Sus scrofa: one gene and its partner. The protein of the gene in region 2 purifies or fractionates together with the protein of the main gene of each other region. This does not show direct contact. Links are inferred from orthologs where the notes say so. Each region holds a gene or a part of one and is shown on either strand. Other genes may lie near its edges. The genes, in order: NDN and NGFR.

Region 1 (16,093 bases), on a different chromosome or scaffold from region 2:
TCAATTACTATCTCAAATAGATATCTATAACCCCATGTTAATTGTGCCATTATTTTACAATAGCCAAGACATGGAAATAATCCAAACATCCACAGCCAAAAAACGGATAAAGAAAATGTGGTTATATATACTATGGAATATTAGTCAGCCATAAAAATGGAAATCCTGACATTTGTGACAGCATAGATAAAAGTTGAGGGCATGATGCTAAGTGAAATAAGTCAGACATGGAAAGACAAATACTATATGATGTCACTTCTTAGTGGAATCTAAAACAAATAAGCAAACTAATAGAACTCACAGATACAGACAACAGACTAGTAGTAGCCAAGTTAGGGGTTGGATGATGAGCGAGATAGGTTAGGGTGGTCAAAAGGTACAAATTTCCAGTTGATATACATCAGTCCTGGGTATGTAATGTACAGCATGATGACTACACTTAACAAAACTATATTGTATTTTTGAAAATTGCAAAGAGAGTAGATCTTAAAAGTTCTCACCATAAGAAAAATGTTGTTAATGGTGTGTGATGACGGATGTTGACTAAATTTATTCTGGTATTCATTTCACTGTATATCCATATATCAAGTAATTATTCTGCACACCTAAAACCAATACAATTTAAATGTCAATTAAACTTCAATAAATAATAAAAACCTATTGATATTATTTTTCTTTTTTTATTTTTCTGTACATTTAAATTTCATTAATTTCATCTGGTCCTCTACTTTTTCTTTTGGCCAAAACTGAGGCATTTGCAAGTTCCCAGGCCAGGGATTAAAACTGTGCCACAGTGACAACCTGAGCCACTGCAGTGACAATTCTGGATCCTTAATCCTCTGAGCCATGAGGGAAAAGTACTGCACCTCCAGTACTTTAGAGTGGTTGATCATTATTAGTTATGCTTGGTTTTGTTTTTGCTATGTGGTAGAATAGGTTATTTATTTATTTATTTATTTTTATTTGTCTGCACCCACACGATGCCTAAATTCCCAGGCCAGAGATTGAACTCATGCTATATCAGTTACAATGCTGAGCCCTTAACTGATAAGCCACCAGGGAACTCCAGGGCAAGTCTATTATAATATTTTTAGTTTCTTAACTCACATAACCAGTACTTATCAACCACATACATATGCTACTCTCTAAGTTAGGCATCAAGAAAATAGTGAAAATGACAGGTACAGGTTTTTCCTTTATCTAGCAACCCAGGAAGAGAAAGACAAACTTAACTCATTTATTAAAAACATGTGTATGCTGAGTGAACACTTTAGGATGCCACTGGAGGGAATAGTAGGAAAATACAACGGTGCTTTATTTTTATTTTTTGCTGAATAGTAGTTTCTTTACAATGTTGTCTTACCACACACAACTGTGCTTTGAAGACCAGATAGCATATTCCAACACAAGAGGTGTTCATGTGTTGGTCAGATGAAATTCAAGTGGAGGGGGCCAGATATTATTTTCTTTTCTTTGTCTTTTGTCTTTTTAGGGTGGCAACTACAGCATACGGAAGTTCCCAGGCTAGGGGTCTAATCCGAGCTAGCTATAGCTGCTGGCCTACACCAGAGCCACAGCAATGCCAGATCCGAGCCCAGTCTGTGACCTACACCACAGCTCACGGCAATGCGAGATCCAAAACTCACTGAGTGAGGCCAGGGATGGAACCCCCAACCTTTTGGTTCCTAGTTGGATTTGTTTCCGCTGAGCCATGATGGGAACTCCTTCTTTTCTTTTTTGAAAATCTGTATTATTAGTTATTATTTAGTTTTTCTGTTTTTTTTTTTAAGTAACTTTACTGGAGTAGATTTGACTTAGAAAATTGTGTTAGTTTCAGGTGAATAGCATAATGAATCAGTTACACATATACACATAGCTGTTCCTTTTCAGATTCTTTTCCCATATAGCTTATTACACAGTATTGAGTGGGTTACCATGTGCTACAGAGTAGGTTCTTGTTACCTATCTATTTAATATACAGCAGTGTGCATATGTCAACCCCAACCCCCAAATTTATCTCTTCAAAGATGACTTTTCAAGCGGAGGAAATAACTGCATTAGAAGTTCATTTAAAATATGCCTTTCCTATTTACTAATGATACTACAGAAGTAATTAATTTTCCCCTCAGAATATATGAGGTGGCATTATATTTTATACTAAGTTTACAAAGATCCTTTTTGCTCTCCATAACTTTAATTAAATGAAGTTAATTACAGTGAAATACACGTGTGGGTGTTTGTAAAGAAGTGAATTTCTAGTTGGCAAGATAGACTGATAAAATGTCATATGTCATGGGGATTAGGAACTCTTTCCCAGCCTCAGCAGTCCAGGCTTCACCATGCTGTGATCTCAGCCGAAACATCGAGGGTCTGGAGACCCCTCCCTGAATGACCACCCCCAGCACCTTGTAGATTAACCTTTTAAAAAATATTTGACCAACCTTCTAACCTTTCAATTGAGCCCATCATGAAAGTCTAAGAGAGATACTGACTCTTCCCTGTGCCCCAAGGTGCTGTCCAGCATGTCACAAATTAAAGTCATGAATTAACAAGCTGTCCTGGGTGTCATGAATTAACTCTGTTCCATATTTGGGAAGCCTCCTCCTCTGCGTCTGGCTGTGTCCAAGCCAGAGCTCAGCGGCCCTGCCCACATAACTTGCTGGGGTCAGCTCTTCACTTCTTACTATCCTGTCCTCTCAAGATTAGGTTTTCTGTGGCATGGTTGATATTCCTGTGTCAGGGAGCTTAAGGCAGCTTTGGAGTGGTTCTCCTGGTTTCTCTGGCAGAGAGGAACATAAATACAAACTTGGGGAGGTGAGGGGACTGCCTACCTGGTGACTTCTGGGTTTGATGAAAGAAGTGTACAGAAGTTATGATTGCTGCAAGGAGCATTAGGGCCTTAGAGAAAGTGTCCATCAGCCTACCTTGGAAGGGGTGAGAGCTGTGTCTGGTCCTGCTCCAGAAATGAGACAACTCAGAGAGCCCTGTAATTTTACATATATATATATATATATATAAATTTTTTTGGCCACACCCATGACATGTGGAATTTTGTAGGCCAGGGATCCAACCCAAGCCACAGCAGTAACAATGCCAATCCTTAACCATTAGGCCACCAGGGAATTCCTAATTTTATATTTAATGGGGCAGATTTGTTTTGATTCTGCAGGAAATTTTGAGGTGAGAAGGAATTTTTTTTTAACAGTTCTGTAATGTCTGAATTCATCTTGGCTCAGGGTGAGAGATGGCATCCAAGCCAGGGCATCTTTGCCTGAGTCACTGTAGAAATACCCCCTACCCTTCATGAGAGACCCCACAGGATGTCTTCTGAAAGGGAGGGATTTCATCTCTGCACATCTGAGGCTTCTTCAGCTTTTTTAGCACCCGCACTCACTTATTAAGTAATGTCATTAAATGCTGGGAATCCTAGTTCTCAATTCAGATTATAATCCCCTCACCCAACATAACTCTCAGGTTGCTTCTTCTGGGGTATCGTGAACTATGTGTTCCCCTCATTTTCCATCTTCTCCAGATAAGGGTCTTTCTTTGGCCACATCCTCTTTTTCAATCTTCTGAAGTTTGAAGGATTTCTGGTCGTATTAAAGGCCATTTTCTCTCCCTCCCCCTTGCAGGACTGAGAACTTTAATATGAGATTTATCCCCAGGCACTGCTCCTCCCCCATCCCATCCCATCCTCTGAGGGGTTGCTTAGTGGCCCAGTGCAATGCCAGAGCTGCTGGGTTGCCACCTTCTCATCTCAACCCCACCGTCCTCTCCCAGGTTTCCCACGCATGTTCCTCCAGTACCACTGGTCTGGGAAGACTCCTTCATTCTGGTCCTTCCGAGAAGACCAAGTTTCAAATCTTGGCTTCACAGCTAAGCAGGAACATAACTTAGCCGGCTCAATTAATCTCTCTGAAATGAAGTTTCTTAATTAGAATATGACTGCTTTCTCAACAAGATTAATGTGATGGCTCATTACAAAATAAAGTTGATAGCCTTGTGTGTGTATGTGCATGTGTGTGTTTGTGCTAGGGGCAGGGACCTAAAAGTACAGACTCGAACATGAAATTTCTAAAAGGCATAAACTAAAAGGCAGGAGGTAGGTGGTCAGTTGTAGGCAGGCTCTGGACTCATTCAGCCTGGGTCCAAATCATAGCCCCTTCTATCACTAAACCTTTATGATCCAGGGAAATTTAATTACCTGCTTTGTTCCTGTATTTCCTCCATGGTGCAGATGTAATAAGAGCTTGCCTCATAAGGCTGTTGTGAGGATTAAATTAAAAGAGAAAAATGCATGTAAAAAGTTTAGTACAATGCCTCACTCTACCCACAAAAGACAGCTATTAATTTTAATAAAATGTAGAAAATGCAAGAAACTAAATATGAACAGTTACTATTTCTATGTGATGTGACTATGAACTTTTCTGTTTTTCATACTTTTCTCTTTGTCAAATTTTTGAAATGAACATGTGAGTTACATTTTGCAAAAAAAAAAACTATACACCTCACACATATGAGTCACGATTTCCCCACCCTATGAGATGAAATATATCTGTACATTGTGTAAAATATCTCATTCCCAACCCATACTACTTTGTTAAAAAGATAAAAGTACACTTTTCCATAAAAATGACTGTATCACAAGAATCTTTAATGTTTAAAGTTTACTCATGGTGGGGTTGTTTTTGTGTTTAGTAAACTGTGCCAAGTGTCCATACTGAGCCCCTTTAAGTCCACATCACCACACTCCAGACAGATGTTTCCTGTGCCCAGCAAGATCACAGAGAGAGAGGTCTTGACTTTTCTCTTGGTTAGACCAGCTTTACTGGTGAGTTCGTCCAAACTCTCTAGTACCTGTCTACCCCCATACACATCATCAGTCCCATGTAAAAGAATAAGATGGAAAATGTCTCAATGTATTTCATAAGTTTAGCACGTCTCTGGTACAAAAAATTCAAGAAAGGTAGCACAAAAGCGAAAGCACCAACTGAGCTTACTTATAAACAAACATGCATGAATCCTACACACTACCTAATTATTACTGAAATGAATACAACATTGCATTAAAAGGTATAAAAGCACTGTACTGAAAACGTAAAAGTTACACGTGAAATACTGCACTGTAAATCCTGAATACTCTAATGTCCCACCCCCACCCCTCCACCACCCTGGTGAGGGTCAGAAACCATCAATCTGCCTCCAGACCTTGCTAGTCCTCGGAGACACTGTTGCGGGGGCAGTGGGCAGTGGGGTTGGCCTCCCGCAGGGCTCTGGCCTCTTCCAGAGCTTCCCTGTAGCGGGAAGGCCAGGCCTGGGGGTCTTTCTTAAAGACCCTGGCCAGGAACTCCATGATTTGCATCTTGGTGATTTCACGGCTGGCACGGGAGCCCCAGAAGAACTCATACTCAGGGGGCTCGACGTGGGGGACGCGCTGGTACTTCAGGTAGTTCTGCTGTACGAACTCCTCAGTGATAAGCTTTCTCACATCTCCAAAGGTGGAGTGCTTCTTCCAGGGCCTCAGCCCCAGGATGCGCAGCACGTTCCACACAGCACTCTCACGGGCACCGCGACCCTTTACGTAGATGAGGCTCAGGATCATCAGCAGGAGGCCTGTCATAGGCATGCGGTTGCTCAGAGCAACCCTGTCCAGCTCCTCAGGCGCCAGAGCTTTGACCAGCGAGAACTCCATGGTGTGCAGGCTGGTCAGCCTCAGGTGCAGCCCGAACACTCGGGCGAGGATGAGGCTGGTGCGCCTCAGGATGCTTCTGCACCACTTCTTGTAACTGCCGATGACATCTTTCACCATGTCTGGGAACCAGATGATCATCCTTTTCTGGTCCTTGACCAGCACGTACCACATGAGCTCATGTGCCTTCTGCACCAGCTGGGCCGGGGCCGGCGGCGCTGGGCTGGGCTGGGCTGTGCTCCGGGCCTGGTGGGCGCGGCCTTCCTCCGCGGCCTGCTGTAGAGCCTTTGGGTCTCCCTCTTCGCTCAGGGCCTGGGGCGGCGGCGAGGCCAGAGGGGCGTCGGGTGGGCCTACAGGAGGGATCTCTGGCCCTGCGAGGGTCGCGGCCTGGGACGCAGGCGGAGAGGGCCCCCCGGCCACCCCAGGGCTGCTGTGCACCTCGGAGTGGGAGGCATCGGCTGCAAAGTTGGGGTCACACACGTCCTTACTTTGTTCGGACATGTTTGCTCCGTCTGGCAAGGGCTCGGCCGCTGCGTCCAGGAGCTCTTCGACTCTGCGCTCCCTCGGTGGACTCCTGGAGAGGAAGTGCGCGTTGCTGCGCGCGGCGCCTTCCGCAGCGGCCGGGCGGGGCGGGGCGGCGGCGGGACAGGCTAGTGCGCCTGCGCATCCGTGGTCTGTGGGGGCCCTGCCGGCTGGCGGTAGGGGCGGGGCGCCTGGAGGGCTGGGGTGTATTGAGGTCCCAAAGGGGTAGGGGGCCTAGTGGAATACTGGCCTCATGACCCACAGTCGTCCAGTTTGGGCTAAGGAGGCGGTCCTGGGGCCGGGGGGAGGAGCGACATGGGTGAGCACTGGACAAGGAGCAAGTTTAAGAGGAAAGATGGAAACTTAAGCTTCCAAGATGCTGAAGCTGAATTTCTTAGGAAATGTTCAATTGGGTATATGTAGAATCAAGTTAGATGTGAGTTTCAGAGAAAGGCCCAGGTTGGCACATAAGCTTGGGTTTTGGATAACAAGTGTGAGAATTTAAACTGACAGAACAATCAGGGTCACCCAAGAAAATGTGTCAACTCTGAAAAAGATGCGGGATATCAGAATCATGAAAGATAGCAATAAAAATTGATTGATTCACTGCGAGTTCCCATTGTGATACAGCGGAAAGGAATCTGACTAGTATCCATGAGGATGCAGGTTCAATCCTGCCCTTGCTCAGTAGGTTAAGGATCTGATGTTGACATGAACTATGGTGTAGGTTGCAGACAGGGCTTGGATCCAGTGTTGCTGTGGCTGTAGTGTCAGCTGGCAGCCGTAGCTCCAATTCTACCCGTAGCCTGCTATGGGGAAAAAAAAAAAAAAAAAAAAAAAAAAAAAAAGATTTCCTGACTGCCAAGTCCAGGGGGTTATGAAGGAAAAATGCAGAATGTAGTCAATACATGTACAACTGAAACTTTCTTGAAGACAATGTACTAATGATACTGTTAGGTGCTTGAATGGTCATTGATTTTGGTTTTTCTACTTCCCTTGGGTAATTTTGATGTAATTTTAATTTTTTGATTAGGATCTCATCACACAAAGATTGCTGTATTTATTAGCACAGACTAGTATGATGTCTTTCTACTTGTTTGTCCAGGAAGGACCCTAATTCCCCTTATGACTGATGTAGCCTTCACGGGTGTGTTCGTGTAGACCCCACCTCTGCGCTTTCACACAAACTGACTGGTTCCAGAAATTGACAGCCACACCCAAATCCCTCCTAAGACTTTTTTATTTGTCTAACTAACCAATTAGTTAATTAACACAAGTTCCCTAGATTGTATATGGCAGACAGTCTCAGGTGACCAACAATATGAGATGCAATGTACTGGTGGTTGTTTTTCACTTTTAGAACATGGATATGCAGTGGGCAAAAACAAAGCTGACACTCCCAGAGAAGGATGGGTGTAGGAACCTATGGATCCAAGGTTTCTCAGGCTGATCAGCATCCCTGGTCTGAGCCAATATGGTATTTCAGACCTTACTGAATTTCCTCAAGCCAACAGCGTCTTGTTTTTTTTTTTTTTTTTTTTTTCCCCTTTTTTGGCTGTCCCCTTGGCATAGGGAAGTTTCTGGGCCAGGAATCAAATCTGTCCAGGAGCTACAACCTATACCATGGCTTCAGCAACACTGAATTCTTAACCCACTACACCCTGCCGGGATGGGATTGAACCAACACATCCACAGAAACAAGTCGAATCATTAACCCACTGTACCATAGCAGGAACTCCAAGCTAACAGCTTCTTAAATGTGCCCTCTTGAGTCTGGTTATTGTCACTTGAAACCCAAGGTGTGTTTACAATATTGACTTTACATTTCTACAATCCTCTCTTTTTTTTTTCTTGTATCTTCTTTTTCATTTCTCACTCTTTTTTTTTTCTTTTCCATACTATTTTTCTATCTTTATTTTTCATACTTGTATCACTTTGAGCAGGACCATTCTCACACCAGTCCCTCCAATAGCACTTCTTAACCTCTCGCTTGACAAGGATAATTCCTACAGATCAGATATGTCTCAGCTGGATTTTTTCCTGTTCATCATTTCTTCTTCTTTAATTTATAGATTTCTATTTTTAAAATATATCTTGCATGGTTGTGTCAGTTATATAAGATTTTTTATTAATAAGAATGGTTCAAATCTTTCAATTACTTCTTTCTTCTTAAAAATCATCCTCATTTCTTGCCTTTTATTTCCACTAATTTTCTTCTTTTTATTTCACTTGGGTATTTATTCCTTTCTAACTGGGATAATGATTTCGTTCATTTAAGGTATTTTTTAAAATGAAAATGTCTGAGCCTATTATTCAAATCTCAGCTCAGCTTTGGCCATCGGCCATAATTCGTGCCATTGTGAGGTTATTACAATTACATCCTCCTATTTCACCCTCCTAGATTTAATGGATTCATGAAATTAAATCACAAGCTTGAGCACAGAAATGAACACTTATGTATAAAAAAGTGTGAAGGCAATTATAAAAACAATTGTAAAAGCACACCAATTTTAATATTATAAGAGCAACTGCTGCAGAAACAGCAGAGCTCTGGCCAGAGAATTTCAGTGTGTTCCAGTTGCTACCTGAGCTGGACTGGTCCTACAACAGCTCACTCCACACCTCTCTCCTGACAAGAAGATTGTTTAATACTATACCAGAGCCTGCGGTCTGGGACCACTGTGAGGGATCATACCGAGGTTTTAAAGCATTGGAACAGATGTTGAATTTGAATCCAAGTACAAGGTAGACCGCTTGTGCTGTTCACTCTTCTAGCCCCATTGTCCACCTGCTAGCATGATATCATTTTCTTCCAGGAAAAGTTCTGTTGAAGAGGCTCCATTTATTTCCCACCAAGAAGTAAATCCACGGAGGGAGGGGGGTGGGTGGAAAAAAAAAAGTAAAGCTTGAGGTAACCTTTAAGTAGAGAAAGTGCACCTGCACATGTGCCATGGGAGAAGTCAATAGCTTGATAGCTTGATAGTAGCTCCTAATAAGGTGCCTCCCCATAAAGTAGAGATGCAGACCTTAAGAACAATAAGACAAAAGGGCAGATGGAAATTGTCAGTACTCAAGAGTTATCCACAACCTCTTTGATTCAATGGTCAAGATTTGGGTCTGGAGCTGCAGTGATGTCCTGCCAGCACAGGGTCTAAATTAGGCTCACAGGGCATCTCCAGAATTGGCCTTATTGAGTGTGGGTGATGAGTCCTCTCAAGACCAGCAGCTTAAACGCAAAAGACTGAAGGTTACACAGTATCCCCCCCCCAAAAAAAAGGAAACTCAGAAGGGCTATGCTTTCAATCAAGATTCTGTAAAGAGAAGTTCTGTGGATGCAGTAAGTATATGGAGAAGTTATAACCTAAAATATTCTGGTGCAGACAATTTTGCTGGTGGGTTACTTCAAACTCTGAAATGTGGAACAGATTACACAGCTGTGGAATAGGCTGTTCTTGGCAGACTCAGGGATAGGAGGAGAGGCCTGTCCTGGCACTGGTTTCCATAGTGAACAGAGGAGGGGGGGGTCCCCCCGGGGCCTCCAGTGGACGGTGCGCATGCTCACAGTGCAGAAGCCCAGAGGCCCCAAATGAAATGTGAATCCTTCTGGCTCTTTCCTGTCCACATAGGCAGCAACCTCCACCTTGGAGCCCCCAGAGGGGCCCCAAATGCCTTTCAGGCCAAGGAATTGAGACAGAGAACTCACATTCATGGGTTCAGCAAATATTGAGCAATGTCTATCACGTACCTGAAAGATTTGCATTTTAGAAAAGTAACTCAGTCTGAGGGGGAAACCTATCATATTGGGACAGTTTGGCAGGCTGGCCCCTTTTTGTTAGAAGAGAGTAAGAAGTGAGGACAGGCAGTTCTGCTGTCTGCAATTGGGGAGGTGAAGGAGGGGACTCAACCCTGGCCCCTTATCCCCTCCATTCTCCCTAGTGGGACAATGTGCATGCCTGTCCACTGAGGTCCAAGGAAATTCCTGAAATGGGAACCCTTCCAGATCTGTTCAGACTCCCACAGTACAGCTATGCCAGTGCTCAAGGATAATAGTGTCAAGAGTGTCTTTGAGAAAAGTCAACTGGAATCAGAGTTAAGTCTGGAGTTGGAGGCAGGTAGTCAAGGAAAGGCAGAGAGACCAATGAGGAGACTTTTCACAGGAATCCACTTAAATTGGATGATTGCTTGCATTTCACCTTCATTAGCCAACTTTTAAAAATATTTTTTATTATAGTGTAGTAGATTTACAGCATTGTGCCAATTTCTGCTGTACAGAATAGTGACCTAGTCTCAAACTCATATATATATATGAGTATTTATATATATATATGAGTATACATATATATATATATGAGTATTTTTCTCATACTATCTCTTCCTTTAAATGCTACATCTTCAGCATTATGCCTGGAGAAAAAAATGAGGAGAGTTGTGGTCTCTGCCCTCAAAGTGAGGAGAAATGGTGGAGAAAAGGAGCCATAAGCAAACAAACAAGTGAGTAATTAAATAATCATTATGCACTACGTTGCCATACATATCTTGGATGAAGCCACAATGTGGTTGCCAAGAATAGAACAGAAGAACCGATGTTTAGCAGGGATGTAAATAACAAGAAAAAGGAAGGGAGACTGTGGACATCAGGGAGCACCAAATCTGGTCAGTTGGGATTGAGCAGTGTTGTGGAGTTTGGATAGGGGGGCACCACTTCCTGAGATTATTCCTAGAGAAGGATCTGAGAAGGGAGCGTGGACATGTCTAGCAGGTATCTGGATATGTAAGCCTCAGGAAAGCGGCCTGGGCCAACAATAGAAGTTTGAGAGATAAACACAGTCAATAGCATCACCATGAGAGAGTGTCTAGAGCAGGGTTCTTTAAAAGGAGCGAGATTTTCACTGTGTGAGACTATAATGCACCACACAGGCACTGACATCTGAACACCTCTGTCCCTGTCAACACACATATGAATCCCTTCCAGGCATGGGAAAAATAGAAAAGTGTACAAAAAGAAAAAGATGACACCTTCCCACTGCCCTGCCAAAAGCCCTTCTATGGGCAGTCTAGCCCCTAGTTGATAACCACTGAAAATTGCAAATAGGAGTGAGGAAAGGCAGAACTGACCAAGAGGGTCAGGTCACATCAGCCTCTTTCCAGAAGATCATATGACTTTCCTCACTGGACCTGTTTCTGGGACATGTTAAAATAAATTACATTGTCTTCAACATCTTCTTGAAGATAAATGCTGTTCAAGCAGACCCTGGGTACTGTGGTGTATAGTTCTTTTTACACATGGCTGAATTGATCCTATGATATTTTGTTGAAGATTCTTATGTGTGGGTTCCTCGGGGATATTGGTCTGACTCTTTTTGCATTGCCTTTATTATTTTTTTTTCTTTTCATCGAAGTTCCTGGATAGGGGTCGAATTGGAGCTACAACTGCATGCCTACTCCACAGCCATGGCAATCCTGGATCCGAGCCACATCTGTGACCCACACTGCAGCTTGCAATAATGCAGGATCCCTAGCCCACTGAGTGAAGCCAGGGATCAAACCCGCATCATCAGACACTATGCCGTTTTCTTAACCTACTGAGTCACAATGGGAACTCTGCCTTTATCTGGTTTTGATATCAGGACATTAGAGCCTCCTAAAGTGACTTGGAATATGTTCCCCACTCTTCCACTTCATTGAAGGAAATGTACAGAATTGTTTGTTATTTCTTTTTAAGATATTTGGTAGAATTTTTTCAGTGGAACCATCAGTACCTAGAAATTTCTTTTGCAGATAGTTTGTAGCTACCAATTCAGTTTTTTTTTTTTTTTCAGTTGGTTGTAGACCTATCAGATTATCTTTTTCATGCTGGGTGAATTTTGGTGATTTGTGGTTTTTTTAAGGAGTTGGTGTATTTCCTATAAGTTGTCAATTTTATGTCTGTACTGGTATTTGTATATCCTATTATCCTTTTAATGATCAATTTATCTACTAAGCCTGCACTTGGCTTCTTCACCTATACCGGGAACATAGGCCCACACCCCACCCAGGACATAGATACTCTTCCAGAGAGTCCTCAATTCTCCATATACACAGTCCTCCACATGTAACTCTTGGGGCAGCTGACAACTTGAATGTCCCCTAAAAGTCGAGGGTTCTCATAGTCCTGCCTTATGTCCTCTTATGTTCTCACCCTATGTTCTCCCTGGTAAGCACCATCTCCTAGACATGGAAAGTAGTATCTATACACTGATGAATCCCAGGCTTAATTCTTTACCCTAGATGTCTCTTCTGTGGTCTGTAACTGGATATTCAACTGCCTAATGAGCATCTTAATATTTTAACTTTGAATTTTAAATTCAACAATCTACTGCACTTGGTCAGCAGCCTCTCTCAATCTTTGTGTTGCCTGTATTGTACCTTCCCTCCCAGTACATATCATGACGGTCCCCCTAGTTTCCCAGAAAGAAATGAGAATGTCATTGATTATCCTCACATCCAGTTAATCCCACAATTCTCATCTCCCAAATGCTACTACGACCCTTGCAATAGGTCACTGCAGTTATCCACTGGTCTTACTCACCTGGATTGCCATAGTCTACTTCTACTGCATCTTTTCACTTGTTTATTTATTTACCTACAGTTTATCATCCTCATAGAAATCAGTACATCTTCTGAAATTAAAATTTCCCCAGTATCCATCTCCTAGGACTGCTGTAACAAATGACTTCAAACTGTGTTGTGTAAAACAACACAAGTTTACCCCCTCTTGGTTCTGAGAGCAGAAATATGAAATAAAGATATTGCCATGGCCAAAATCCCATTGAAGCTTCAGGGGAGAATCCTTCCTCACTTCTCCCAGCTTCTGGTGGCTCCTGGCATTCCTTGGTTTGTGTAGAGTAACTCCGATCTCTACTTACACCTTTAGCTGGGTCCTCACATGGATGACTTCCACATGAGTCTTTGATCCTTTCTCCTGTCTTTTTTATTTTTTTTAATCTTAATTTTTTTACACATTTTTTTTTATTAAAGGATAGTTTGTTTACAAGGTTATGCCAATTTCTACCATACAGAAAATTGACCCAGTCATATCTATATCTATATCTATATCTATCTATCTATCTATCTATCTATCTATATATATATATATATCCTTTTCATATATACTCCTTTTCATATACTTCAAATATATTCATGTTTCATATAATCATGCATCCATCATGGTCTATCCTAAGATACTGGATATAGTTCCCAGTGCTATACAGTAGGATCTCATTGCTTATTCTCCTGTCTTCTTTTTAGAGCCACACATGTGGCATATGGAAGTTCCCAGGCCATAGGTTGAATAGGAGCTGCAACTGCTGGCCACAGCACAGCAATGCCAGATCCAAGTTACATCTGCAACCTACACTCTAGCTTGTGGCAACATCAGATACATAACCCACTGGGCAAGGCCAAGGATCAAACCCACAGATTCATGGATACTAGTCAGGTTCTTAACCTGATGAGCCACAACTGGAATTCCCTCTCCTGTCTTCTTTAAAGACATTAGTCATTAGTTTGAGAGATCAATGTAAATCTAGTATGATCTCATCTCTAGATCTTTAGCTTAATATGCAAGGACACTGGCATTCACATGTCCCAAAGATTAGGACGTGAATATTTTTGGGGAGGCTATTTTCCAGGCTACCACAGGGGCTGGTCATCTGTTAAGAAAATTGATATTCCTTCTAGGTATTTCATTAGTTTGCGAAGGAGAGACACAACCATGATGCTTGGAAGCAATCAATAGAAGAAAGAATCCTAGCAAAATGTTTTCTTTCCAAAAGGTGAGCCTTTGGGAGGGGTGAATAAAAATATGATTTCAAAATTTCAGAGTACTCTGGGGTTTTACCAGGAAACATATGGGTTCTTTCATGTTCAGAGACAGTGAACAGGTAATGGCTGTTAGATGTAAACTGTTAGTATTTCTCCTAACTCCTCGGTGTCTGGTACAGTATAATCATATTGACCCTCAGTAAGCTGGTCTCAAAATGGGTGGAATAGCTGTCTCAGTATCATTAGATTTAGTTGGCTCTCTTTGGGAATCCCATGGAAAATAGCCTAAAATGCCATTAATTCCCCTATAAGTTAGGATCTTACATAACTTCTGCAATAAAAAAGGCTCTTATTTTCATAAAAATGGGACCACATCATCCTCACTGCCTCCGAGTCCTTAGTTGTGAGAATGGCTGCTTCTTCCCTCTCGCATTGATTGCCAGGGATTAATTTTTATAATTACATAATAATACAACATCATGTAAAATAAATTTTATTAGGATGTCCTTCTTTCCATCAATGGATCAATGAAAGGGATAAAGGATCACCATTTTGCTTTAAGCTTATGATATCACCTATATCTTTTCAATCCCAACTTCATGTACTATAGTTCAATTCAGGAAGTAACTTAGTGCAGAGCCCAGAAGTGAAAGGGCCTGGTCCTGAACCAGAGTGTCCTTACTTTGATGCTAGTTGCTCTTTAGGGGTCCCCAGACTACCCACACTTCTGACCAACTAGCTATAAATTTGGCAGTTCCCATGACCCTTTCAGACTCCACAATTCACTAGAATGACTCATGGAACTCAATAAAAATTATATATTAAAGATGATGGTTTTATTATATAGGATATACATACGGAGAGGTCTAGGAGGTTTCCCAGCACAGATTTTTCCATGCCCTCTTCCCAGGGGGAGTCAGAGTGTCTTATCCTCTCAGGACACTCATGTGTTCACTACTGAGCTTCAGTTCCAGAGTTTTTACCGGGGTTTCATTACATAGGCATGAGTGTTTGTCAAGTGGCTATGTGATTGAACGCAGTTTCCAGCCACTCTCTCCTGCCTCATGGTCTGGAAACTGAAAGCCCCAGCCTTCTAGTCATGGGATTGACTTTTCTGGTAACCAGCCCCTGCTATAAAGTTATTCATTAGCCCACCATAAGGCACCCCATTAACATGTTACCATGGTGAGGACACTAGTGCCACTCAGAGAATTACAAAGGTTTTAAAAATTCTGAATCAGGAACCTAGGACAAAGAACAGACACATTTTTAATTATCCCACATCCTGTGATAAGAACTTGAATGCTTTTTTGCCTCTGTCCTAGTACTCTAACTTCTATTTTATGCTTGCTGCAGCCCTTGTTGGACTGAACTCTCTACTCTCCCTGGAAAGCTGAGAGAAAGCTTTATTTGTCATAGAAGATGCCATAGGTTTCCCTCCAGGGCAGTGGGCTCCTGAACATTCATTATGGAGCAAGAGGTAAATAGGCTTAGGTGCTGTTTAATATGTGGCTTTGAAAATCTTGGAGTTCCCGTAGCGGCTCAGTGGTTAATGAATCCGACTAGGAACCATGAGGTTGCGGATTCGATCCCCAGCCTCACTCAGTGGGTTAAGGATCTGGCGTTGCCGTGAGCTGTGGTGTAGGTTGCAGACTCGGCTCAGATCCCATGTTGCTGTGGCTGTGCTATAGGCCAGAAGCTGCAGCTCCAATTATACCTCTAGCCTAGGAACCTCCATATGCCCTGGGAGTGGCCCTAGAAAAGGCAAAAAGACAAAAAAAAAAAAAAAAAGAAAGAAAGAAAATCTTAGCTGTATATCAATTTATTACCACTAATTCCACAGGTGGAGACGTATATCTTGTTATCTTGTTTTTAAGTCGCGTTGAGGTATAATTTATCTATGATAAGCTACGCATATTTGAAAGGTATAATTTGATAAATAAATATCTGTGAAATCATTACTCCAATCAAGATAATAATCATCACCCTCAAAAGTTTACTCATGTCCCTTTGTAATTGCACCCAAATCCACTTTTACTTTCAGATAACAAATGATCTGCTTCCTATCACAATAGTCTG
Region 2 (16,632 bases):
CTTCTCCAGACCTTTTCCAAACGCCTACTGTGTACGAGGCATTCAGATAAGAAACCATAGTCCCCACCTGCACGGTGCTTATCAGCTAATGTAAACACAATCCAATGAAGGCAAAGTGTTTAGGATGCATCTATGCTCTTGTTTGCGTGTAAGTGTGTGTGTTCATGACCGTGCGTGTGTTCCACGTGACGTAACTGCATCCGTACACAAGTGTGTGTGAGTGTGTAGGTGAGTACGTGTGTCTGCATATTATGAGCACATGGGAGATGAGTGTGCATGTGTGGAGGTGCACACGTATGTGTCGCATGCGCAGGTCTACAGGACTGCGTGAGCATGGTGTGGGCACGTGTGAGTGCACAAGCACATATATATGGGAGCTTGGGAGTGGGTGTGTTCCTTTTTGTGCGTGTACACACCTGTGATCCCTTCAAACCCATCTTTTGAGAATTCAGTTGATAGCGGGATGGACTCCACCTTGAACATCCCCGCTGCTTGCGGTCATGGTCAGGCCACCTGCTGACCCCCCTCCCTCTCCCCTAGGCCTCCGCACAGACAACCACCCCCCAACACCCGTACCCCCCCTCCGCCCCAGCACCGGGCAGGGGCAGAGGGAGGGGTGGCCTATAGGCCAGTGGGTATTATTGCTGATGCGGCTGGGTAGGGAGCAGGGCACCGGGGAAGAAGCTGAAGCCAGTGGCAGGGAAAGGCAGGTAGGAGAGTGAACCCTGCGGGGGGCCGCAGCCCAAGGGAGTGGGAGCCGCAGTGGGGACGCCCCGAGCCCACAGCATCCGGGACAGACGCGCTGTAGCGCTGGCCAGGCGCCGGGTACCCGGGCGGGGTGGGGGATAGACTCGGAGGGCCGGGGCGCGGAGAAGCGGCAGCGGGGCGGGCGGGCGCGGCTCCCCGCAAGCCCTCCCTCCCCTTCGCTCCCCTCCCGGAGGCGGCAGGGCGGGCGGGAGCGGTTCCGGGGGTGGGCGGGCGGGCGGGCGGGGCGCGGAGGAGGCGGGGCCGCCGCACTGGCTTCCCTCAGCCCCTCCCGCCCTCAGCCAGAGGGAGCCGAGCCTCGGCCAGCTCCGGGGGGCGGGCGCTCGAGCGCAGCGCAGAGCAGCCCCATCGGTCCGCGGAGCGGACTCCACTGGAAGCCGAGCGCTGCCACGGTAGGCGGGCGATGGGGGCAGGTGCCGCCGGCTGCGCCATGGACTGGCCGCGCCTGCTGCTGCTGCTGCTGCTCCAGGGGGTGAGTGCTAGCCGGAGAGGAGCCCGCTCCCTTTCCCAGGACCGGAACCCTGATGAGTTCAGGTTTCCTCGAGGGAAAATAGAAAAGAGGGCTGGGGTCCTCGATGCTGGGGGCGGATGGCGGGAGAGAAGCTCCGATGCCAGTATCCACAGAGGAGCATCTAAGGATTTCAGAGCGAAGAGGCGACCCTGAGATCCAGGGTAGAGATGCGGATAAGAGGGGCGCACGGATGCGGGTCCTCAGGTACCAGGAGGTATATGTGTGGAGGAGCTGGGAAGGGTCTCTCAGAAGGGGACCGTGGGGCTCTCGGATGCCTGGGTTCCTTGGAAGAAGGCGCTTGAATGCCAAGATCTCGAGGCGACTTCCCCCCTGAGCATCTTGATCTCTGGAGGGTCATGGGACGGAACCTGGGCTAGAGAAGGAGAAGGAATGGGACGGGAACTAGAGAAGTGAGGGGCGAGCGTGGTTAGGGCGGGGAACCGGAGACAAGGGGATGGAACAATGGGAGAGGAGGTTGCAGGGACTGGAGGCAAAGGGGACTGGGCATCGGACAATGAGGACCAGCCAGACAATGGGGGGGAGGGGCGTGGGAGGGAGACGTTCGTGGAGCGGGGCTCTGTTGAAGAAAGAGAAATGGTTAAGAGAGGGCAGAAAAGGGATGGCGGTGAGGGAGGTAGAGAGATGGAAGCAAAACGAGAGGACGGAGAAGGGAGAACGGACCCTAAGGTGGTCGGGGCCCCGCCTGCCCGCGGAGGGACAGTGGGACGAGAAGAGAGGGCAGAGGCACAGACACTTCCCGCGCCTGTCGCGCGCTCTTTCTCCCGGCCTCGCGAGGTCAGGCAATTGCGGCTTGGGGTCCGAAGCTAGGAAGGGAGTGCCCACTTCGCCGGGGCGAACCCGCTCTCCGGGTTCTCCGGCGACCGGCGGGCTCCTCCTCCGCATTTATTCTCGCAGTTTGAAGCAGAGCGGAGGACAGGATGGGACAGAGCTAGGCGTCGTCCGACGGGTTCTGGTCGCCGCCACTTCTTGGGGTGCAGAGAGGCGGGACGCGCAAGGCGGGGAAGGTCGGGGTAGCGCGCAGGCGAAGGCGGCCCGCAGGGGGCGCTGTGGCGCGAGGGCTGAGCCGTCGCAGCTACCCGCGCGACTGTGGCTAAGCGCCGCACCGCCACCCCGACCTCCAGTTAAGTTAAGCAGCCCGAGCGTCGCGCTGGTGGTTCGCTCTGTTTCCGCGCCCCGCCCAGCCTTGGGTGAAAGACACCGGGCAAGGAACAAAACGGGGGTGCTTGTACGCCTGGGATTCTGTCCCGGAAAAGGACCGTGGGTCCTCGTGAGCGTCAAAGTCCGCCCGGAAGTTCTGCCGAGACATTCAGGAGATGTGACCTGGTGTGTGGCCATGAACCGAGTGCCCTGAGAGGTTTGGCAATGGAGGAGGTGTCCTCACTCTCCCTGCCATCTTCATCTCTCATCGGAGCCTCGCATCTCCAAATCCCAGCTTTACAGACAGAGGCTCTGAGAGTTGAAGCCAATTGCTCAAGATCCCACAAGCAAGTAGAGCCAGAATTCTTAGCTAGCCTGCCCCTCACCTGATTCCCAGCCCGGTACTCCCCGTACCTCTTAAAAGGGGCTGCCCGGCGTCCCAGCTTGGGTTAAGAGCTGCGTGGCTCGGCGGCGGCGGGTCGGCGTGACAGAGTCCGGCCGACGGAATATTGGGGGCTGGGATGGGCAGAGAGCCTCTCCGGGTGCTGGCCCTATCCTCGAAGCTCAGCCCCAGTTCTCTGGGATGCTAGTACCTGTGGCTTCGTCCGGGCATGTGGGAGTGACTGCGGGCACGTTTGCTGACTAACGTCACGGGTTAAAGATGCTTCTCAGCCGGGGAGGAAGGGAGCGGGAAGGGGGGTGGGGGGGACTGTAGTGCGGATCCCGGAGAGGCGAGGGCGTGGGCTCCGGATCTGGGCTGGAGGGTGTCCGCCGAGGAGGGAAAAGGCGAGACAGGAGGGGAGCTGCGCGTGGAGGGCCTGGGGGCTCGGAAAGGTGGACCCCGCTCGGAATCTGCCGCCTGCAGCCCCTGGGACTCTCGCCTCCGCCTTGCCGCGGGGCTGCTGTCTCGGGGCTGGCTCTGTGCACCGCAGCGGTCCGAGTTTCTTCCTGGGCCGCGGCGAGAGAGTGCTGAAACCAGAGCGCGTCCCGGCGGGTCGGCTGGCGAGCCGCGCCGGTAATGGAGGCACTTTGTCATTCAGACGTCTGTAACCGGAGCCGCTGGACTGGCTAATGCGCATAATAGGGATGCAGCGACGGCAGCAAATGCGAGCACGCGAGCGGGGCCGGGTGGGGGAGGCGCCTCGGAAGGGAAGGTGTTCCCACGCCGCTGTACCAGCCAGGTCCCGTGCACGCGCCTAGATTCTTCCCTGGGGGTGCGGGGCGGGGAGGCGGGAATAATAAAATTGATTGAGTGCCTACTGCGTGCCATGCATGGCCCTGAGTAATTTCTCTTATGTTATTTAATCCTTATAAGGTCCCAGCCGAGTCAATCTAGTTATTCCCATTTACAGCTGAGAGAGCTGAACCTCCCGGACCTTCAGACGCGAAATCAGGCTCTCCCAGTTTAGTAGATGGTGGCGCCCTTGTTGGAACCTAGGGTGCCTGGCTTGGAGTTTACTCTGTCCTCCTTATGCCAGGCACCGGCCCCTCCCCCAACCTTCCAGATCACGGAAGGACACGTGGCCTTGAATTACACATTAGATCGTGTCCGGTGCTCTTGGCACCACAAAGTTATAGCTGAGCCCCTCTCTCCCAGCCCGCCCCCTTTCAAATTATTACTGCAACATCCTCCTCAGTAATTCGCTCTTGTCTTTGACCCCAAACTCCACCCCTGTCTAAAGGGTTGAGGGGGCATGTGCCTCCCCAGGGTTTGCATTGGTCTCAAAGACCCTTCCCATGTTTGAAAACTCTCCAACCCCGTGACAGTGGCCAATGGCTCCATTCACTTAAGGAACCCTTTGCTGAAGCTGCTGTGAATGCTTAGGACTCACCACACTGAAGCCTGCCTGTAGTTTCAGATTCTTTCAACTATTTCGGCGTATTCTCTATTGGGTCCAGTTTTGAAAAATTAAATCTTAAAAGTCCATTCACGTAAGGGTGTTTCCACCTTAATTTCTTGAAAGCCTGGAAATGGCAAAAAGAACAAAAAAAAAAAAAAGGAAAAGATTTGCAAACATTCTCAAAAATGGAACGAAATCATTCCATCAGACATGGAAATGAGTAAGTGTAATAAATGTAAATTTCAAGCAAATGTGTCTGTCATTTTGGCAAATCCATCGTTTGGAGCCATTAGCCTGAATCCTCGCCATCCCTCCCTCCTTCCCAAGATTGCTGGGCCTTGAACCCAGAGGGAGTGTGGCCGGGTGGTGCATCAGGCCGGTGAGCAGCATGACCTCTGTGGGCCTCAGTTTCCACCTCTGTCCCATGACGGCAATCCCTCAAGTCTTTCCTCCTCAGCTTCTGGAGCAACTCTTTGGGGTGATATTTTCTCTCCATCGTGGGACCATAACTCCTTCCAGGAGTCAGGGACCATGTCTTAAGAGACACTCTTAGTTCCTTTTTTTAAAAAAGTATTTTATTTATTTATTTATGTCTTTTTGCCTCTTCCAGGGCCACTCCCGTGGCACATGGAGGTTCCCAGGCTAGGGGTCTAATTGGAGCTGTAGCCACTGGCTTACGCCAGAGCCACAGCAACGCAGGATCTGAGCCACATCTGCAACCTACACCACAGCTCATGGCAATGCCGGATCCTTAACCCACTGAACAAGGGCAGGGATGGAACCCGCAACCTCATGGTTCCTATTCGGATTCATTAAGCACTGCGCCTCGACGGGAACTCCAAGTATTTTAAAATGATAGTTGATTTACAATGTTCTGCCAATTTCTACTGTACAGCAAAGTGACTCAGTCATTGGAAACTCAGTCCAATGCTTAGGAAATAGCTGCTGACTTAATTAACTTTGAACAGAGCAGGTCCCCATCCTCCTTTGGTCCCCATCCTCCTTCAGACTCTTCTTGGTGGGTGTCTGTCTTCACTCCTATCTTGCCCCCTGCTCTGAGATGGTTTTCCCTCTTTGGGGATGGCTAAACTCTCCCCTCCCTGGAGTTCCCATTGTGGCGCAGTGGTTAACGAATCCAACTAGGAACCATGAGGTTGTGGGTTCGATCCCTGGCCTTGCTCAGGGCATTAAGGATCCGGCGTTGCCGTGAGCTGTGGTGTAGTTGCAGATGCAGCTCGGATCCGATTAGACCCCTAGCCCGGGAACTTCCGTATGCTGCGGGAGCAGCTCAAGAAAAGGCAAAAAGACAAAAAATAAAAAAATAAAAATAAAAACCTCTCCCTTCCTGCTACCTACTCTCTTCCCCCCACCCCACCCCCATCCCCTGCCCAGGCTTAGCAGTTCAGCTTGTCCTTAAGACAAGACACTTCTTTAATTAGTAACATTTAAAGTTTCCATCCTGGCGCAGAGGAAATGAATCTGACTAGGAACCATGAGGTTGTAGGTTTGATCCCTGGCCTCGCTCAGTGGGTTAAGGATCCGGCATTGCCGTGAGCTGTGGTATAGGTCGCAGATGCGGCTCGGATCTGGTGTGGCTGTGGCGTAGGCCAGCATCTGTAGCTCCGATTGGACCCCTAGTCTGGGAACCTCCATATGCTGAGGGTGCAGCCCTCTAAAAAACAAATAAATAAATAAATGTAACATTTATTAAACTCTTACTGTGCACCAGACAGATTTGCATAAATTACATTTACTTTTCACAGCCACCCTGGGCAGTAGATATCACCAACCCAGTGTTTTAGTTGGGAAAACTGAGGCTTAACAGAGATAGAGAATTTACCCAAAGCAACATGCTTATTCAGTAGCAGATCTGGAATGTTTTGAACTAGAACACAAAACAAGCACAGGAAACACATGGTTACTAATTATGTAGCCTTGACTCCAAATGAAAGACTTGGGAGAAGAGAGAGGACCACCAGTGGGCTTTGACAGGAGGGCGGGGCACGGGGCTGCCACTCCGCCCACTGCCACGACAGACCCTTCCACTATCCCGGGCCCAGGTCTCTACTGACCCCAATTAACGGGAACTCAGCCCAAAGCCAAAAGAATGCCAGAAAGACCTTGCAAAAGAGAAAGGAGGGGTCTCAAAGTAAATACACAGCTTACTCATTTACATAATGCTTACAGCCACCTTCTGAGGCAGGTCCTGTCATAATTACCTAATGAGGAAGAAACTGAGGCGCAGAGAAATTCCAAACCCGTCCCAGGTCACCTCACTCTAAGCCATGAGCAAGGATTCAGCGCAATGATGAAGGCAGGAGAACTCACACTTTTTACTCTGAGAAGGGCCCCCCCTTTTGGTTCAGATCCTGCTTTCATTCCCTTTATACATCTTCCCACCAGGGCTAGTTACGTACTTTCTAAAGATTCAATTAGACCTAATACATTAGAATGGGGGAGGGGCTGCTCCGGTCACACTGGGAGCAGCGAGAGTTGACAACTGATACCTTGACAGGAAAGGAGGAGACAGAAAAATGGTAAGAAAAGCTGACAGGAGAACTCCAAGAGACAAAAGTGTGGTCATTTGTGATAAAGAACATAGGGCATCACTGCATCGCCGCCCAGAAAAATCGCTCGTGTAACTATTGAGCCCCTGAGTCATAGGGAAACGGTGAAAGTGTGTTTCAGAGACAGAGGAAGGGGAAGCGCCCATAGTTAAAAGTGAAAACCATTAGATGAGAAGAGCAGCAAATCCTTGACCTTCCAGAATCTCAGCTCTCTACGGAGAGAGTTGGTCCCTGGAGTTCTCATTAATCGAGGCCATATTGTCTCACTGTCTTAAATTCCAGAAATATACACGTTGGGTCCCTAATATGTGCCAGGTTCTGTCTCAGGCACTGAGGCCAGCACAGTCCCTGCTCTCAGGGAGCTGACAGTCCCATGGGGGTGTCTGCAGAGACTCAGACCAGACAGGAAGACCGAACAGGGAGGACAAGGGACAAGGTGGCTCCGCCTGATCCAGGAAGGCTTGGGACCACGGGACCACTTCCCTGATGAAGTGACATTTAAGCAGAGTCCTGAAGGATGAAAAGAAATCTGAACAGACCCTTCTGGAATCTGGAGTCTTGCTCACCTCCTGGGGGAAACCTCGTGTCGGGGACTACACCCCCCCACCCCACCCCCACCGGGCTTCTGGTCTGCAGATGTTCCCAGCACCCCGTCCCTGCCACCTGGGAGAAGACGGTGGCAGCACCCACGGTTCCCCTCCTAGGCTGCCTGCACCCTCCCCATTGGGCTCTTGAGAACTAGTGGCTGCCTCCTCAACTGATCCAACCTGGCCATCCCCCTACCTCCATCAAACCCTGCTGAGACCTCAGGATATTTGAAAGGACTGGAGGGAAAGACATGTTTTGGGCCAACATGGAAGCAGCAGGGGAATGTCCCAAATGACCTGGACAGCGCCCCTCTAGTCCCATGATCCAAAAGCCCCTGTTTCCTCTGAGCATCAAATGAGGGCTGCATGGTCTGGAGCCAGGGAAACAGGCTTTGGAATTTTATTAGATATTAAGTTTTTTTTTTTTTTTTTTTTTTTTAAAGGAACAGAAATACAAAGCAAGCTGGCAGCAGCCCCTCCCTCTAGGGAATCTGGTGCTAAATCATTCCATCCATGAGCAAAGATGCTTCAGCGGCAGGAATCTGACTCCCCTCTCCCCTGTTTCCAATGCAGGTCCCACTGGCTGCCTGGGGGGCAGGGAGAGGGGCGGGCTGGTGGCTGGAAATCAGACCCTGGTGGAGCAGGGCTGCTGGATGGTGAGAGCTGCCACTTTCTCATCATTGATAACAGGCAGCCTTTTCTCCCGTCTTGGCGCCAGACTCTTGATGATTGGCTGCTCTTTTGCTTTGGCCCTAAGGTGACTCCCTCTCTCTCTCTCTCTCTCTCTGTCCAGAGAGATGCAGAATCAGAGAGGGAAAGCAGGGCAGGTCAGAACTCTCAGAGCAGAGCCAAAATTTGAACCCAAGGTCCCACCTCTGTTCTTGGGTACAGACCCCTCCCATTTCATACTTAATATGTGGAATGGTAGAATTAAGGACCCGGAGCCCGGCTGCCCTTTGTTAGAAAAAGACTCCTCTTTGGGTACACGCATCCTTGCAGGTGTGCAGCTTAGCAGGTGGCATTTGGGCTAGATTTCAGTTTCTAGTCACCTCCTTGGCTGGGAGTCCTATGCAAGCTGCAACCTGCCTGCCGCTTCAGCTGCTCCAAGTCTCTCTGCTGGACCTCAGGTTGCCTTCCCCCCATGATGTATCCTTGGGATTCTAGGAGCTGCTGTAACCCCAAGATGAACTTTGCAGAAAGTCAGCATCCAAGGCTCTGACCTCACACTCCCAGCAGCCTGCAGGGGTGCACTGTCCCCCGTGGCCTTTCTTCCCCACCAGCTTTCAAGTGCCAAATGCCTCCCTGGTGAGCTCATCCGGGCCCAGGTGGTTCCAATAGAAGGCTTTAGAAGGGGATGTTTGCTCCGTCGGAATCCACCCCTCCTCCATCTCTTGCCAGTCTGATCTTCTGACCTTCCCCCACTCAGGTGTCCCTTGGAGGTGCCAAGGAGACCTGTCCCACAGGCATGTACACTCACAGCGGCGAGTGCTGCAAAGCCTGCAACCTGGGTGAAGGCGTGGCCCAGCCTTGCGGAGCCAACCAGACCGTGTGTGAGCCCTGCCTGGACAGTGAGTATAGATGACCAGCGTGGGGAAGGGGGTGGAGGGCACACTCCGAGTCCTGGCAGGGACTCCTGCCCATCACTGCTTGGGCACCAGGAGTGAGTCTGCCGCAGGATAGGAGGCAGAGAGGGGAAGCTCCGAATGGATGAAAGAAGCATGCAGAGGGAGGAGGGGGACCTGAGGGGGGAATCCCTGGGGTGGGGGGGCGCCCCTTCCAGAGACCCCTAGCAGAGAAGCCTTGTAGAAGAGTGTTCTGGCCAGGTGGGAGGAGTAGCTGATGCTAAGACCAGCTAAAAATATCCGCTGCACTGCAAAATCAATGGCTGCCACTTACCCTCCGCGTGTTTGTGGGGAGGGGAGGAAGATCAAATCCTGGCTGTCCTGGAGACTGACCTTGGGGGATCCTGGGAGGGTGTGGCTACACCTCCCCCCAGGCCAACTGTTCTCCAGCCCTGACCGAGGAAGCAGAGCTTTCCCCATCAGCGGGGATGGAGGCTGGCGCCCTACAAGGATGTCTTTACAGGGGGGTTGAGGTCAGGATGGGGGAGGGGCGCTGTGGCCATTCCTATCTGGGATTTCCTTGGGAAGAGGAGTCTTCCAGCGCTGCTGGATGAGGGAGGCAGAAAGATGGCAGGTCTGCCTGGAAACGTCTCCTCACTGTTGATTGTCAGATCCTGCCTTCTAACTGGCTACTCAATGCCCATCTGCAGGACCAGTGGGAATTCTACTCAGACTGTTCTTTAATCATGCTGGGAACAAGGTTACAGGAACTGGGGACTCTGAACACACCCACCAGCCTGTCTTTAACCTTTGGAGCCAGCCCACCACCAACATCGCAAGGCACACACGCTCTCTCTTCTTCAGGCAACCCCAACTCCTTGATGTCCCGACCATACAGTTTTCCTATTTCTGTGCTTGTGGATCCTATAACTCATCCCCCAGCAGAGGGATGCCTGGGGCCAGGTGAGGAGGCTGGTCATCCTGCAATGCCTTTGCTACCTTGCCCTCTGGCCACCACTGCTGGCTCTGGCCATGCAGAGTTTCCATCCCAGTGCAGGGCTGGCCAACCATCAGCTGCCCTGCGACCTCTGGTATTTGCCTCTCTCAGTTCCTACCCCAGGACCGCCTCTCCTTGGGTCCTAAGTCGCCTAGGATGGGACCGCAAACCTTTCTGTCTGAAGTAAGGGGTGGGATAGAAGAGGCTGAGAGAGGGAAGGGGAGGGAAGACAGGACCAGAGACCAGCTCGGAATTTTCCCTCCCGTTTCCTCCCTCTGCCCCCCTTCTTCCCCATCCCCCGCCCCAGCTGTGTTAACGAGCTGCCTTTACAAGCCCACTTTATGAGACCGAGACCCCAGTGGACTTTCCCTCTATCCTCAAAACGTTTCCACAAGGAAACCCATTAAGCTCCTGCCTTCATTCTCTGCCAAAAAAGACCACATTTTCCCCACCTCCTAAAACTCTCTCCCCAGGAGTTGGCTGCTAATTTTCTGTATGTTCCCATGGCCAGGAAGCTCCCCTTCCCTTCCCCTGTGACTAGACCCACCCCCGTGCCACTTGCCAACCAGATAGGAGCCTCTTGTATAAACTGGACATCCTGCCTTGGCCATTTAGGTTTGGGCGTTCTTTCTGCTGTCTGACTAATAGCCCTGCTACTGAAGTTCATTGCCCACCCTGGGGAAGCCCAACCTTTACAGGACCCCTGCTGGGGGTCAAGTACTTTACAGTGGAATTTCACTTATTCCTCACCACAACAGGGAGTGAAGACTTTACTCCCCGTTTTATAGAGAAAGAAGAAAAGCTCAGAGAGGTTAAGTAAAACACCCAGAGTCACACAGCTAAATAAAGTGATGGAAGCAGGTTTTGAATCCAAGTCTGCCAGAAGCCTAGGAAGAGAAACACAGGGGTCCCTCTGCCAGAACTGATGTGACACCAAAGTCTCCCTCCAGGCCCATCTGTCTTTTCTTCCAAATCTCTTCCCCACCCCCGTCCCCCTTAAGCTACTGTCCCTTTCATTTCAAGAGAAGTGAAAAGCAGAGATGCTTTTCTCTTCTTTGCTTCTCCAGCCCCACCCTCAGCCGCCAAAATAATGACCCTGCGCTCCATCTTGGCTCTTGATGCCTTTAGAGAAGCTTAAGATTTAGGACCCCCCTGCCCCCAGCAAGCTTCAGTTTCCCTCCAGTGGGCTCCTAATATCTCTACCCCTGCTTCCGCCTTCTGGGCAGTCCTCCTACCCCAGTTGTCAGGTTCTAAACCTGTGCTCTTCCAGCCTCTTGGATTCAGTCTGGCGTCAATTTCTCCACCTTGGGCTGGAAGGGGTGACGTTCTGGCTCTGTGCCTTCCTGCCTCTTTGCACGAGGATGCAAGGACTCTGGCATCCCCAGCACATCCATGCCCTGATTCTGGAGCTCCCGCCCCTTAATTGAGCGTGAGTCAAGCATGAGCTTGAAAATATTTCCCTCGTGCCATTTGAAAGGGCGCTGGACTATATGTGCAAGTCCTTTTTCTTTCTAGCCCGGATCCCTCCTGCTGTAGCTTTCGTGCCAGGAGTCCATCCCTGCCCTCAAGAGCCAAGCCCTTCTAGCAGCCAGGAGTAGCAGCGCCGTGGGTGGGAAATTCTGTTGTCTAACCCTAGTCACTCCCATTCAGGACACACCTGCTCCCACCTGTGCCGAAAGGGATGGAAGGAGGCTCCCTGGGGAAGGCCGGCTGTGCCTGGGCTGGGTTCACAGCTCAACTCTGGCCTGCAGGGAGGGCTGGATGGGAACCATGCTCAGATTATTCCTTAATCACGCTGGGAACTCTTTAAAAGAGTTTGTCCAAAAAATGTACCAGCAGTGGCTGGGTTACCCCTGGGAAACCCCAGGGCCAGAGCTTCCGGGGTCTGGAGCTGGGGGCTCTCGGCTCCCTTCCTCCTTCCCAGGCTCCTGCCACCAGCTTTGACCCCAGGGGAGGGGGTGGGAGTCAAAATGGGGGGAGCGGGGCGAAACGAGGGGGTCAGAGCCCTGGCCCTGGCCGGGGATGGGGCAGGAAGGCTTCCAGCCTCTGCATCCTACGTGCCCCCAAGGAGAGGAAACTAAACTGGGGCGCAACTTCCCCGCGCGTCCATCTGTCCTCAGGCGTGACCTTCTCGGACGTGGTGAGCGCCACCGAGCCGTGTAAGCCGTGCACCGAGTGCGTGGGGCTGCAGAGCATGTCAGCGCCCTGCGTGGAGGCGGACGACGCCGTGTGCCGCTGCGCCTACGGCTACTACCAGGACGAGACGACCGGCCGCTGCGAGGCGTGTCGCGTGTGCGAGGCGGGCTCGGGGCTGGTGTTCTCGTGCCAGGATAAGCAGAACACCGTGTGCGAGGAGTGCCCCGACGGCACGTACTCCGACGAGGCCAACCACGTGGACCCGTGCCTGCCCTGCACGGTGTGCGAGGACACCGAGCGCCAGCTTCGCGAGTGCACGCGCTGGGCCGACGCGGAGTGCGAGGGTGAGTGTGCGCGGAGCGGACCTGGGGCAGGCAGGCTGGGTCCTGGCCGGCAGGACAGCCCTGTGGCCTCGAGCCAGCGGGCATCCTCCCAAGCCTTCCCACCAAGGGACCCCGTCCACTATTTCCGCCTTTGGGCTAAGTGGTTGGAAAGCCATGCGCCTCCTCCCAGGCCCCACTCCTTTTCCAAGGCTTTATTAATCTGTGGCTACTGACTGGGGATTGGAGGGGTGACAGTTAAGCAGCCCAGAGGTGGCCTCTGTGTGCAGAGGCACAGATAGGACATGTTTGATCCTTGAGGCCGACTCTCTGAACTGGAGGAGGGGCCCGAGGGTCCTGGGGGTTGGGCGCTTAGTGGTTTATGGTTCTGGGACCTGGGATAGAATCCACCCTGTCCCTTACTATCTGCTTGAAGTCAAGGAAGTCACTCCTGCCTCTGGACCTGTCTCCTTACTGGTCATCGGGTTTCCAGGGTTGCTGTGGGTTAGGGAAGGGGGCTGGCTCCCTTCCCCTGGTGGGAGAGGGGTCAGCAGTCACTGGTACAGTTGAGTCAAGGATGAAGTTGGACCCCGGGAACACACACTAAGTGGTTGTGGGGATAGGAGCTTGGGGACAGAGAAAGAAAGGAAGCAGCAGGCCTGGGGCTCGGGAGCCAGAGGACGAGACAGGTGCACACAGACGGCCCTTTGCCTCCCCCCACTCCCCCCACACCGGGGTGGATGGGAGCTGAGGGTGCCCACCTTCGCCAGATGGGGGCAGTTCCTGGGGTGGGAGGAGGACACCCTGTGGCAGCCAGGACAGAACTGTTTTGGTCTCTGGTTGGGGACATCCATCTTGGGGGAGAGACTGACAGGGCCTTTGCTTTCTGTCAATCACCCCATGGCTGGGCACACATTTCGCTCTTTCCCCTGGGGACCCAACCCTCAGGGTGGTGCCCTCACTCTGAGCAGGCGGCACCGAGCCTCCACCAAGGAGCCCTGAGTTGGACAGGACACAGACGGCCTTTGCCCGAGTCTGATGAGGGAGAGGCGGTCCCAGCACTTAGTTCCTGGGAGATCCTTCATTCTGGCGGAGGCTGCATTGCCCCCCTGCCCCAGTCAGCCCCGAGTCGCAAGGGAGTGATAGAAGCCTGCCCGGGGAGCCTCTAGTCTGACACACCCATGCCTTCCTTCCACATCCTGTGATCCCCCCCCTTGCACAGGGACCTCAGGGTGGAGAAGGCTATTAAGCTGGGCTGAAGCCAGGTATGTGTGAGAAGCTTCTTCCTGTATTCAGATGTGGGGTCAGGGTGGAGGAGCAGGGGCGGGGGGGAAGAGAACAAGGGGGTTCCGGTGGCAATTGCCCTGGGCCAGGAGACAGGCAAGTAGCATCAGGCACAGAGCAGAGCAGGGAGGGAGTTTCAGCAGCCTGCAGGCGGGCAGGCGGGCAGCACCGGTCTGCGGGCAAGTCCTGACCAGCTGGCAGGTGGGCAGGCAGGGGCTCAGTTAGAGCAAAGGAAGGTGGTGGCTGGGGGAGGGGGGGGGTTCTGCTTTTGGGGAGTGGGCTTTCCCAGCCACCCTGAAGGGGGGCATTTATCTCTGTTCCCCACCCCCACCCCCGGTTCTAGCCTCTGAAGGGGTCAATGTCAGCTCTAGGGCAGAGGGAACGTTTCTGGAACTGGAATTTGATTCCTGCTTTGGTTGCCCCCGCCTCTGCCCCAGTGCAGGGTACTTCCTTGCGCATTCATTTCAGGTGTCAACATGGTGACTCACCCACCCTGGGGGCAGAAACACACCCCCCTACCACCACCACCAACCAAAGAAAGTTGGGTTTAGGAAAGGTAACCTGGTCCCTCCTTCCACCCCCACGCCTGACAGCTCCCATTCCGGAAATGGCTGTCAGGACCTGCCGAGGGCTTGGTGGGTTGGAATGCTAGTGGACATGGCCACATCTGGATCTCATCCCCTGCTTCCCTCCCAAGGGGGGGCGGGGGGTATAGATTGGAGAGATGTGGGGAAAGCACCTTGGAAGGCGCTGTCTTCAGCCTGGTCCATCCTCCGCCCTCTCTCAGCTCTTTCCCACTTCTCTCCAATCTCTGTGACGCCGGATTCCCTGACGGCCCCCCCGCCCCCCACCATACCTTCAGCCTCTGGGTTCTGGCGGGTTGAGCAGAACTGTACCCTCAGCCTGGGGAGGCTCTGGCTCCGGAGCTGGCGCAGTCCCCCAGCTGGGCCAGAGAAGACCCTCGGCGGGCCAGCGCCTGGTCTGGGGCTGCCCCAAAGGAGGGCTGAGTCTCCTCCACTCCCCGCCCCACCTCTTCCACGCCCTCCCTCCCCAGACTGAGATGGCGGAGGGGTGGGGTAGGGTGGTAGAGATGGCAGCTCCCTCCCCAACGCCAGCCAGATGGATGCCAGATTCACATCTGGAGACCTTACTTCTCAGAAGGTGCTGAAAATGAGGGCCTTTGAAGCATCTTTGTCTTCAGCCAAGGAGGCCAGGGAAACCGGTGGGCAGCTTGGACTCCAACCTGGGTGGGCAAATTGGGGACTGGATGAGGCAGCGCTTGGTAGCAAAGTGCCCGCCCTTCACCCCACTGGCATGTCCTGTCTGCTCACCCTCCCTGCCCCAGGCGTGGGACGTGAAGACAGATGGGGCAGGCGGCTTTGCCCAGACAGGTCCCCCCAGGTCGTTCAGAGCCCACATCCCCGGGTGCTGCCCCCGGCTGGGTTGCAGAGTGGAAAATCCCACTCGCCTGTGCCAGGGGGGTGCTGGGTCTCCTGCCAGGGTGGCTGGCAGTGCCCAGCTGGCATGAAAGAACCTAGGTGGGTGACAGGGCAGTCTCCATCCCCTGAGGCAGTGCGGCTCTGTAGGTTCTCTCTCCCACAGTTCTTGTCCTTCTCAAGTTGGGTTTGGGCTACCTGGCACTGTCTTCTTCCGGTGGCAAGATCAGATGGTTCGGGGGCCACATGGGGCAGGAAATTGAGGGTAGCCACTATCCACGGACTGGCCAGAAGGAAGCCAGCCAACTGGACACCTCCCCACCCTGCCTGAGCCTAGAGCTAGGACACCAGAGACCGGAAGGGAGGCAGCATGCCAGCTCTTGGGGGTGGGTACAGGGGGAAGGTACCTCTCTGCCAGACCCAATTACCTTCTCCTTCTTTTTTTTTTTTTTTTTTTTTTTGCATTTTAGGGCTGTGCCCAAGACATATGGAGGTTCCCAGCCTAAGGGTCAAATCAGAGCCACAGCTGCCAGCCTACCCCACAGCCACAGCAACATGGGATCTGAGCCATGCCTGCAATCTGCACCACAGCTCATGGTAATGCCGGATTCTTAACCCACTGAGCGAGGCAAGGGATTGAACCCGAGTCCTCATGGATGCTAGCTGGGTTTGTGACTGCTAAACCACAATGGGAATTCCCACCTTCACCCCCCTTTAGGACAAGGATGACTGGGGCTGCTGGGGCAACCTGAGGCCAGAGAGATTACAACGTTCCCCAGCCTGATTCCCTGATTCCCCTGGAGGCTTCCTGGGGTCCACTCTCTTTGTGGGTTTACCTCCATGCCAGGCTTCTGGGTACCCAGGCAGAGTAGAATTCTAGGACCACAGCTATACTCGAGATGGAAGGGAGATTAAAAACCATCTCTTTTAATAGCCCCACCCTAGAGGAAGTTCCCGTGTGGCTCAGTGGTAATGAGTCTGATTAGTATCTATGAGGTTGAGGGTTCGACCCCTGGCCTTGCTCAGTGGGTTAAGAATCTGGTGTTGCCTTGAGCTGTGGTGTGGGTCATAGATGTGGCTTGGATCCTGTGTTGCTGTGGCTGTGGTGTAGGCCGGCAGCTACACCTCCGAATCAACCCCTAGCCTGGGAACCTCCATATTCCATGGGTGTGGCCCTAAAAAAAAATAGCTCTATTCTAGAGATGGGGAAATTGAGGTCCTGAGAAGTGAAGGACCTGGTCCAGAGTCACACAGCACGTCAGCGACAGAGCTGAAGGGGACCCGGGTCTCCCGATTCTCAGGGCCTTTGCTCTTCTCTGCCATCAAGACATCACACCCCCACTCCCAGCCCTCAACCCCGTGTGCAGCAGCTGGATCTGCACATACCTGGGGGCGAGACAGGGTCTGGGGAAGAAGCTAAAGGGGTGAGAACATAGGGGAGGGGCTTGAGGGGACGGGTCCTCACTCC

What was found.
Region 1: the proteins of NGFR (region 2) and NDN purify together in Homo sapiens (affinity purification with western blotting; 3 studies listed by BioGRID). This does not show direct contact. The link is inferred for Sus scrofa from reciprocal best matches to the Homo sapiens genes NGFR and NDN.

The regions. Positions count from the first base shown.
Region 1 is NC_010443.5:142,402,785-142,418,877, reverse strand, and holds NDN (necdin), read right to left. Parts: upstream 6,191-16,093; coding exon 5,213-6,190; downstream 1-5,212. UniProt on the Homo sapiens protein: Growth suppressor that facilitates the entry of the cell into cell cycle arrest.
Region 2 is NC_010454.4:25,698,379-25,715,010, forward strand, and holds the start of NGFR (tumor necrosis factor receptor superfamily member 16), read left to right. Parts: upstream 1-1,031; 5' UTR 1,032-1,168; coding exon 1,169-1,237; intron 1,238-8,855; coding exon 8,856-8,997; intron 8,998-12,108; coding exon 12,109-12,468; intron 12,469-16,632. UniProt on the Homo sapiens protein: Low affinity receptor which can bind to NGF, BDNF, NTF3, and NTF4. Forms a heterodimeric receptor with SORCS2 that binds the precursor forms of NGF, BDNF and NTF3 with high affinity, and has much lower affinity for mature NGF and BDNF.